Linked DNA regions of Yarrowia lipolytica. The protein of the gene in region 1 purifies or fractionates together with the protein of each later gene. This does not show direct contact. Links are inferred from orthologs where the notes say so. Each region holds a gene or a part of one and is shown in the gene's direction. Other genes may lie near its edges.

Region 1 (4,833 bases):
CCTTACCAAATTCTAACTATGCACTTGACAAAATGTCCTGACTTGACTAAATACCAACTGTAGTCAACTAAACCAGCCTCAGATTGGCAAAAGACCCCATGTGGTGGTTGAGACGCGGGTTTTGATCCACAGCGCCCTTCAGTCGCATGATGGTATGTCACGCGACTCTCGTAAAGAGATCTGGCACGGAATAACAACGTCGTTCATCACTGGCCGGTTTAGTTGCCGTTTGTAGGTGTGAAACGGTGGTTTTTATATTTCGCAGAGGCCGGGTAACTTGAGTTTACAGTTTAATTTTATTTCACCAAGACGAGTTCCAAACCTTAAATAAGGCAAGAGATGTGATCTGACCGAAAATTGTGGATGGGTCCATGGTGGTTCGTAGGGTGTTGAAAAGAGATAACAATCGATATTAGCTGTATTTTAAGCTATGACGAGTAGTTGCAGTGTCCAATAATACTCGTAATCTGTAGAATGAAGCTGCTGAAACTTAATGTTGGAAAGTTCAGATTTTTCACCGGACTTTAAAGCCGGTTTGTTGTGCAAGATATGACTGAATGACGTGAAACGTCCAGTATGGATATCAGAGAGTGAAATCGTACTATCATCAGAATCCCCCGGTTCTAGCGGTCACGATGGTACCATTATCATTGTGATAGCATCTCGAGATGCGGTTTTATGAGGGACGTGACCCAGAATTAGATGGAGAAGAGTCTTCGACAAATATAAAGTAGATTGTTGTATTCACTAAGCAGTGATCAATCTATATATCTCACCGCCGACAACATGTCTGCATTTCTATCACATCCTGGGGTCCCCACAACCCTAACCTCCCGTTTCCCGCCCTAACCCATGAAAAAGTGTCACACCTGCATTTGAAGCAAAGATGTCGGATCACATACAAATTACAAGTTTGGACTTTGAGGATTATACAGGCCATCGCAGCTGTTGAATACAGTGAGTACGAGAAGGGGACTGGGGGGAATGACACGGAGAGTGTGGCTCAAACCAGAACAACACTAACACAGACAATTATGGTGAGTTATACACGATGGTTAATGAGGTGGTTATAGAGGGTTATGAGAGGTACTGAGAGTGAAGGGGTGAGCGAGAGATGTGGGCGATGGAGAGATGTGTGTGAGGAGCGAATTGTGAGCGACATTGGCCAGTTCTAGAATGATATTGGTGACTGGTTGGTTGGTCCGTTGAAGGGTTTGTTCTGGAGAGTGTGGAGTCATGTCACCTTGTCTGATCTCAGGACTCGGATTTTCAGGTGGTTATCGTGATACCTTGGTGTGGATTAGATGTGGATTGTTTCAGACAGACAGACAGATAGAGAGAATGACGCAGAGACCGACTCAGACAACTTCAGACAGACAGATCAACAAACTACAGATCTAACCAATTACTCAGTCCTCATACTCAAAGCGATCATCTGTGAGATTTCACCATAATCCCCGGTTGATCGGTGGGCTCTGGAGAAGAGCCAAGATAAGACACATATCCTCAGACACAGTGACAACGAGCTGGAGAGTGAACAGCTATGATACACGGTGTGATCAGGCTGGATCGTGATCTACTTCCGTGTCCATTATCACATCATGTCATCGTCTTCTCATCTGGATCAGTTGGTTTTGGGGTCCCCAGTTGATTGAGCTTTTCTCCAAGTCCCTGTTGCGCTTTCGTGCCTGCATCCTCTTGTGCAAGTCTCTTGTGCAAGTCTCAGATTGTCCGTCGCGCGCAATTCCTGATGTCTCAGAGACTCCAGATCTCACTCAGAGCCTTGCTGGTTTCATCTGCGGATTGAACCCAAGTCTATCTCTTTGTCGACTCATGTGCTATGCCCAATGTCTTTTGAAGCCTTATCTCGTTCCTAAATGTGTTCTCTCGAGCTAAGACTTCACTCTCAACACTTGTTGACCCCCAATGACGCTGTGCATTAATAGTGCGCTCGTTACTGAGCTCATAGATGATTGTTGTCCACGCTCAGAATAGAAATACAGCTTCCGTGCAATTGCTGGACGGGTTCGTGTTCTTTTGTCACGCACAACCATTCATTCACTAACCCAGATGTCATCCACCAAAGACCGGCTGGAGTTTTGGAAGGAACAGCAAATGCTCCTGTCCTCTCCCGACTCCCTTCCGTCTATCCTCAGTGCTCTTTTTCAGACTATTCCACACTACTCCGACCACGTATCGAGGGACGTGGTAGTCGACACGTGGAAACTGCTGCTAAAGGAACACCCTGCCGCCCTTCAAAAGGTTGTGCCCGTGCTCGCCAAGCAGTTTGCCATCTACAAAAAGTCCTCCACAAACAACCTCATGGTGCTGCTGGAGTGGACCAACTACTTTGTGTCCTTCTCCCTGACCAACGCCGGGTCCGAGCTCAACGACTTTGTCTTCAAGGACCTCATTTCCATGCAGGCCGAGCTCGTGGACCTGTGCTCAGCATGCAACCGGGAGCGAATGGCCAAGAGCGCTCTGAGGCAGACCCGAGCCGCGTTTGCAGCCTGCATCACAGCTAACGGAGCTCTGACCAAACTGCTGAACGTATGCCTCCCAGGCACCCCCACGTCTACGGCTCTGCTGGGCTGTCTAGCATCTGCATGCGCTGAAAATGCTCCTCAAACTTTTGAGCAGCTGGATCTTTCAGCCTACTCGCAGTTTTACGGCGCCAACGTGCTCGGCGCCAAGGTTCTGCCCTGCAAAAACGCCACCAAACAGTTTTGCACGGGATACTTTGGCAACCTGTCTCGTGACCAAAAGTCCAAGGTCGCGGCTGATATCTTTGATGCCACCAAGAAGTCGATTCTGAGGTCTCCCGAGTCTGTTCTCGAGTACGCAATTCCCCTGTTGCTAGAGAGTCTCGATAAAGACGATGAGTCAGCAAAGAAGCTGGTTGACGGCATTTCCGCTTCCCTGGTCACATGTCTCAAGTCTTCCAATCAGCTCACTCGAGATGGAGCTGTCACATGCATCGGAGTGGCCTGTGCTATCTCTCACGAGACCCTCTACTCCGAGTTGGCCAAGACTGTGTCTAAGGTGACTGTGTTGGAGCAAAAAGTGGCCTATGGAAACGCTATTGCTGGCTGTCACGTGACCGATCCTTCTCTGTCTGCCGCCCTTGCTCCTGTGGTTACCAAGGAGAAGAACGAGATTGCCCTGACTGCTCTGTCACGTGCCTTTTTGGTCCACTTTTCCCCTGATCAGGCTAAGACTCTCTCTTCTGGACTGTCTGACTCCAACGCTGGCGTCGTCAAGACCTGGGTTCTACAGCTGGTCAACTTCCCCCAACACGCTGAGCACGTGACAGGTGAGCTGGAGAAGATTCTCGCTTCTTCCACCATCGTCAAGGGTGCGATTTCTGGTCTTGGAGCTGTTTACCTGCTCACCAAGGCTGGAAAAGCTGTAAAATCTGACAAGGCTCTGGAACTGGCTCTATCTCCTCGAGTGTACACCAAACTCAGTGCAGGCGAATTTGTCACTGGTTTCAAGGCTCTGGAGTCGCTGTTCAAGGAGGTTAACCCTGACAATGCCCCCGACTTTGGTAAGACCATCTTCTTCTATGCTTATGGCGACTCCGAGGTCAAGGTGGACGTTGACTGCTCTAGATTGGTTGGTCCCGCTCTGAGGAGCAATTACTCGGATGGTCTGGCTGGGGCTGTCATTTCTGGAATTTCTGACACCCACGTCAGCGAGAGAAAGTACTCCAAGTTGCTTTACTCGCTGTTTAGTGCCGAGAACAACTGCGACAAGGCTCTTGTCGATGGGCTAGAGGTACTGTGTGGCGTCGGACTGTGGATTGAGTCCGTTCTGGGAGCATCTCGAGACCCCCGAAAGTTGTTGTTGGACAATGAGAAGCATGTCAAGTCGATTCTGTCTTCGGCTGCCTCCTCCAACCTCTATCCTACCATCGCTACAGTCTGTTTCATTGCTCCTGACGTCTTTGCTGGTGAGGTTGCCGAGCAGTTCTCTGTTTCGAACCTCTCCTGTGTCACCACTGAGGCCGTGACCATCTTCAACACTCCCGCTGACGAACTGGCTTTCGATATCAAGCGAACGGAGCGTGTGGCTCACAAAAACTCCAAGGAATACCAGGACAAGCTGTGGGAAGAAAACCTCAAGAAGGAGCTCCAAAAGAAGAAGGGTGTTGTCGAAAAGCCAAAGTACACCAAGGAGGAACAAATCAAGGTAGACGAACAGATGAAGAAGGAGGCAGAAATTAGAACGGAGGTCACCGCAGTCGCAGATCACGTGACCCGGCTCATGGGCATCATTTCCGCCCTCTCCAAGGAAGCCATGACGGTTGATAACGGCAAAGAAACGTGGTTTGGACCGGCCATGACGCTCATGCTCGAGCTCCTCAGACACCCCAACGTGGATGTGCTTTGTTCCAGTCACGTGACCAAGACTCTCACGGACATGTCTTGGATCACCAACGACAAGCTGGGTTCCATTAGACCCTTCCTGGCCGTCTGCCTGCTCAGAATGTATGGTAATCACGTGAGCGAGGACCTCCAGAAGGAGTCACGTGACTCTCTCATCACGCGGGTGCTGTACAAGATTCATTCTGTGGCCATGTCTTCTCCTCTTGACGCTATTTCTCTGATTTTCGTGCTTCCCATTGTCTTGTTTGTGCTCAAGAACCAGTCTCGTGACAAGGACGTGGCTGAGGAGCAAACGCATCTTGCCATTGAGATTGTCACTTGTCACACCTCTGCTTTTGCCGACGTGATTACTCCTCGATCTGAAATCATGAGCGCCCTCATTCAGCTCATGAAGAGCACTCCCACCAAGGCCAAGCTTGCTCGTGAGTGTCTGTACTCTGTGGTT
Region 2 (5,247 bases), on another chromosome or scaffold:
CAGTAGTGCCCTCTTCCTGCATCTACAAGTAGTATGGGCTATCTTTGTGAAACCATGTCTAAGCATTTTGTTGACTTTAGTTAGGATCAAAGTAGTGGATGCTACAGTGCTGGGTCAACTGCTGTATGGCTGAGAGTATAAATACACAGTCAAAACCACCGCAAGACAAACCTAGACGCAATAGAAGCTCGCACCTATGGCAGAGATGTCTCATTCGGTATTCTACGATGCAGTAGCTGCAAGTAGGCTTTCCGATATACTGTATCTTTGCCTTGTATCATTCATGAGAACCTTGTTGAGTTGTTGGGGTTGATTCAGTGATCACTATATCCAGGGCTTGTACAAGTAGACGGCTTGGGGATAACACAAAGGCATATGTACAGTCGTTCGTGTTGCAGCTGTTACCCCGCTCTTATCTACAGCGATTTCGTTTGCGTGACAGTTGTTTACAACGCCATTTTTTGTGATTGATTTGGCTCGCTGGTTGCAACTGATTTGGCTCATCTTGATATCAGGGTCCGATATAGGATGTACAAGTACAAGTACAAGTAAAAGCGTGACCAGAGTGTTTGGAGAGTCTGTGGCCTGGGTGGTCAATTTGAGTCATAGTGACCGATCATTAGACAAATTCAACAAGCTCTTCCTTTCCTAATGGGTTCAATCAACGTGATAATGTCACCGTCATCACGTTGCACCTCTTTATCTCGTTTGTTCAAATAAACTCATAGACGCGAAAGTACGACCCGTCCCGAGAACCGAGGTAGGCTTGGAAAAGGCAACTTGAGACAATAAAAGGGCTTGTTAGACAGAAGAAGACGAGTGGGGTTGTCTAATTGGGCACCGCCGTCGTTTCTGAGACCAGCCTTGTTTCATTTTACTGTATTGTAGCTACTTGTTCATAGGTGGTTATTGTATTGCCGCGTTCTTGCCAAGACCATGGCGAGTGAGAACTATCGTACTCGTATAATGGAAGTACTTGTATGGGTGCTGTGAAATTGTGCCGGCATGGTTGGAAAACAGACCAGTGACGTGAATTTATTGATTACTCATTGAGCCGTCTACAAGCACTTAATACGGTACTTGAACGAGCTCTCGTCTCGTAATTGTCCTCTCCTGACGACGCTGAATACAGAACCGGGGGTAACTTGACTCTCATGTGAGACAAGTCAACGACTCGAACAAGCACAAGTCGTACGTATTACAGTAATACAAGTACAGTAGCTGACCGTTGAATGACATGTGGATATGAAACAAGCGAAACGTAGATCTTCATACCAGGACAATCGTAGGTGTCAGATGGCGTAATCATCAACATGATAGAGGTCTCCACTCGGAGTCGCCCCAGCAACAAGACACTCACACACACACACACACACACACACAGCATGTATGCACCGTGTCGATCAAAGGGTTCTTTTGAAAGTGAAAGTGCCTGTACCTTGTACGAGTACAGGAAACAATCAAGTCGTGATAACAGGTCCTTGTGGCATGGGGCCAAGTCACTGCGCATCAGCTTGTCTTTGTGACTAGCTTGTTGTCAATTTCCCCTCCTTGGGCCGCGCATGTGTATAGCACTCGTATGATGGCCAGAGGGCTTTGCACGTGAAGGAGACGGGTAAATATCAAATGCGCTGGACACAGGGAATGCTCAACAAATCACCAAGTAAATAGTCAAGTAAGAGTATGCATTATTGAAAGATATACACCACCACCCAGGAATAGAGGTTCCACAAAAGTGGCAAAATATGAGACAAACTAAAGATTTTAAGGGCTGAATCAATAGAAACACATGACATAAAACAGTCTCCTTCACTCCCCTTACCACCAGTTGTTGGTATCACCTCTTATTGACCACCCGTTCCCATCCCGACCCCCTTAACACTCCTCCCACACAAGTCCCAACCTGATGGCACGTGCAGGGAAACTTTTCAACCTTATTGCTGCCATCTGTCTTCTTCACTACAGTTGCAACGATCAGTGCACCACACCCCAAACAGCATTTAACACCGACACTGTGAGAAAAAATGTCCTGGGAACCGCAACCCCAAGTCCACGCGCAGCTCCTGGAGGTGCTGCAGAACTCGCTGCGGGGCAATAACGCCGCCCAGCGCCAGGCCACCCAGCAGCTTAGAGAGGCCCAGGCCCAGCCTGACTTTGCAAACTACCTCATGGCGGTGTTGATTGACGACAAGGCTGGCCCGCTCGACGTGCGGTCCTCGGCCGGACTGTTGCTTAAAAACCTGATTAGATTCGACTTCAAGGATCTCAACGATGCCGGCAAGACGTACGTCAAGGCCCACGTCTTCACAGCCCTGGTGGAGCCCGCCAACATCATCCGAAACACGGCAGGAACCATTGTGGCGTCGCTGATGCAGCGGGAGGGAATCAGCGGGTGGCCCGACGGGCTGACTACACTCATGGGCCTGGCCGAGAGCTCGGACGCGAACGCCCAGCTCGGAGGAATGGACGCCCTGTCCAAGATCTGCGAAGACATGCCCGTGGAGCTGGACCAGACATACGGCAGCCAGCGGCCACTGGAGTACATGGTGCCCAAGTTTCTCGAGTTTGTCCGGTCGCCCGACTCGTCGCACCAGAAGCGAGTGCAGGCGCTCACCTGTCTCAACCACATTGTCGAGGTTGAGAGCCGATCCATTGCTAGCCGAATGGACGAGTATCTGGAGATCTTGTTTAGTCTGGCCAACACGCCCGATGTGGAGACCCGAATCCAGATCTGCAATGCCTTCACCGGAATCCTGCGAACCAACGCCGAGAAAATTGCACCCCATCTTGGAGGAGTCATTCAGTACGCCCTCCATTGCATCTCTGCCTCCGAGGAGGGCGACACTCTGGACTTCCAGGCTTGCGAGTTCCTGTTGCTGCTGACTGAGCTGGACCCCAACCCGGAGGCGCTGTCGCCGCATCTTGGGGACCTTGTTCCTGCTGTTCTTCGAGCCATGGTCTACTCCGAGACAGACGTGTTCATGCTGGAGGGCATCAACGAGGACGATGCCGACGTGGCCGACCGAGAGGAGGATCTCAAGCCCATCAACTTCCGACAAAAGGCCGCCCACGGCAACAAGAAAAACGAGGCTGAGGGACAGGAGCCCGATGAAGACGAATCTGACGATGAGGAGGACGACGAGGTGCGAGGCCTGGAGGCCTGGAATTTGCGAAAATGTGCCGCCTCCACTCTTGACCGACTTTCTAACATTCTTCCCGAGGAGGTTCTTGAAGCTGCAATGCCCTACCTCAAGCAGACCATTGTCTCTGACGAGTGGCCTGCCAGAGAAGCTGCCATTCTGGCCTTTGGAGCCATTGCTGATGGATGCCAGGATATGGTCGCTCCTCATCTGCCCGAGCTGGTGCCCTTCCTGATTCAGCGATTGTCTGACCCTCAATTCCCCGTTCGACAGGTTTGTTGCTGGACCCTGGGCCGGTTCTCAACCTGGGTCTGCGAACAGAGCATGTCCGAGCAGGACACTTACTTCATCCCCACGCTTACAGGTCTCTTTACATGTGCCCTGGACCGAAACAAAAAGGTGCAGGTTGCCGGCTGTTCTGCCGTGGCCACCTTCACTGACGAGGCCCGAAACATGCTGACTCCATACCTCGGCCAGATTCTCGAGCAGTTTGCGCTCTGTTTCCGACGCTACCAGAAGAAGTCGCTGCTGTTCCTGTACGACGCAGTTTCGACTCTGGTCAAGTATTGCGGCGCCGAAATTGCCGAAAACCAACAATACATGGAGACTCTGATGCAGCCTCTGATTGCCAAGTGGGAGCAGATTAGCGACGACGACAACGCCCTGTGGCCACTGTTTGAGTGCATGTCTGCCGTGGCCTCGTACATGGGCCCTGCATTTGAGCCCTATGCTCCCCCTGTGTTTGACCGATGCGCTCGTCTGCTGCACTCGTGCTTGGTTCAGGATCAGAACTTTTCCAACGACCCGTCCCAGGATCCTGCCGAGCGAGACTTTATGGTGACTGCCATTGATCTTGTCGACGGTCTGGTGCTCGGTCTCAAGGACAAGGCAGCTCCCTTGATGATGAACAGCGAGCCCCCATTCATGGAGCTGCTTCTTGTGTGCTGCCATGACGAGTTTGACGTGCGGCAATCGACATTTGCGCTCATTGGAGACATGGCCGCCCTGTGCCCCCAGCCATTGGAGCCCTACATGGATCAGTTGATGGAGGAGCTGCTCAACCAGGTCGAGTACAACCACATTTGGCCTGATGCCGTCAGCAACACTTGCTGGTCACTGGGAGAGATTGCTCTTCGATTCGGCGACAAGCTGCGACCTCTTCTGCAGGCATCTGCTGCCGAGCGGCTCATTGCGCTTCTGCGAACCCGAGATGCATCGCCACGAGTTCTGGAAAACGCTTCGACCGCCATTGGCCGAATCGGCATTACCATGCCCGACATTTTCGCGCAGCGAATCCCAGACTTCATCATTGCCTGGTGTCTCAACATGCATGACGCCATGGACAACAGCGAGAAGGAAAGCGCGTTTGTGGGCATGTGCACCATCATCTCGTCCAACCCCCAAGCCCTCGACAACTCCACCCTGCTCATGTTTGTGAATGCCGTGGCCCGATACCTGGAGCCTAGCGAAGCGCTGATGCACACCTTTCGACAGGTGCTGGGTGGCCTCAAGGGCATGCACCCCAATTTTGACAAGGACGTGACCGAGCAGCTGCCTCCCATCATCCAGAAGCGACTGCGTGACGTCTACGGCGTTTAAACTAGACTGTACCAACTACAAGCATGTACACTCCATAGCTACAATCACTTAATCATGCCTGGTGCGGTGGAGAAACGGCTCCCACGGATTAATAGAGCCATAGAGAAATCAAACGATAGATGTATAACAATGACATCAAGAGTATGAACATGTCCTTGTAGAGATGTATGTTGAGGAGTATCGCCTACAAGATTTGTACAAATATATCAATAAGCAGCATCCAATCATAAATCCAGAATGTATGCTTTTCGGGTTCATCATGTTATCGTCAGTTATCATCTCGTTTTACTGTCTCCATATTGTCCCCATATTGTCTCATCATTCAGCTTGCTGCTGACACTGAACCATGCATATTGGAAGTGTTCCATTCGCCCACAATAAGCTTTGCTCCCAGCACACCACAGTGATGCTCCCCAGGGTTACCCTACCGTTCCTCCCAACAGCCAATGGAATCACACGGGTATCTTTCAAAGCCAAAGCTCACGAAAATCATCTCACCTTCACTAAC

The links.
Region 2: the proteins of YALI1_D21702g (region 1) and YALI1_F02794g purify together in Saccharomyces cerevisiae (affinity purification with mass spectrometry; 3 studies listed by BioGRID). This does not show direct contact. The link is inferred for Yarrowia lipolytica from reciprocal best matches to the Saccharomyces cerevisiae genes GCN1 and KAP104.

Annotation. Positions count from the first base shown.
Region 1 is NC_090773.1:2,168,692-2,173,524, forward strand, and holds the start of YALI1_D21702g (uncharacterized protein), read left to right. Parts: upstream 1-1,543; coding exon 1,544-1,627; intron 1,628-2,070; coding exon 2,071-4,833. UniProt on the Saccharomyces cerevisiae protein: Ribosome collision sensor that activates a translation quality control pathway when a ribosome has stalled during translation. Directly binds to the ribosome and acts as a sentinel for colliding ribosomes.
Region 2 is NC_090775.1:276,263-281,509, reverse strand, and holds YALI1_F02794g (uncharacterized protein), read left to right. Parts: upstream 1-2,024; coding exon 2,025-4,739; downstream 4,740-5,247. UniProt on the Saccharomyces cerevisiae protein: Functions in nuclear protein import as nuclear transport receptor. Serves as receptor for arginine/glycine-rich nuclear localization signals (rg-NLS) and PY-NLS in cargo substrates. Its predominant cargo substrate seems to be mRNA-binding proteins.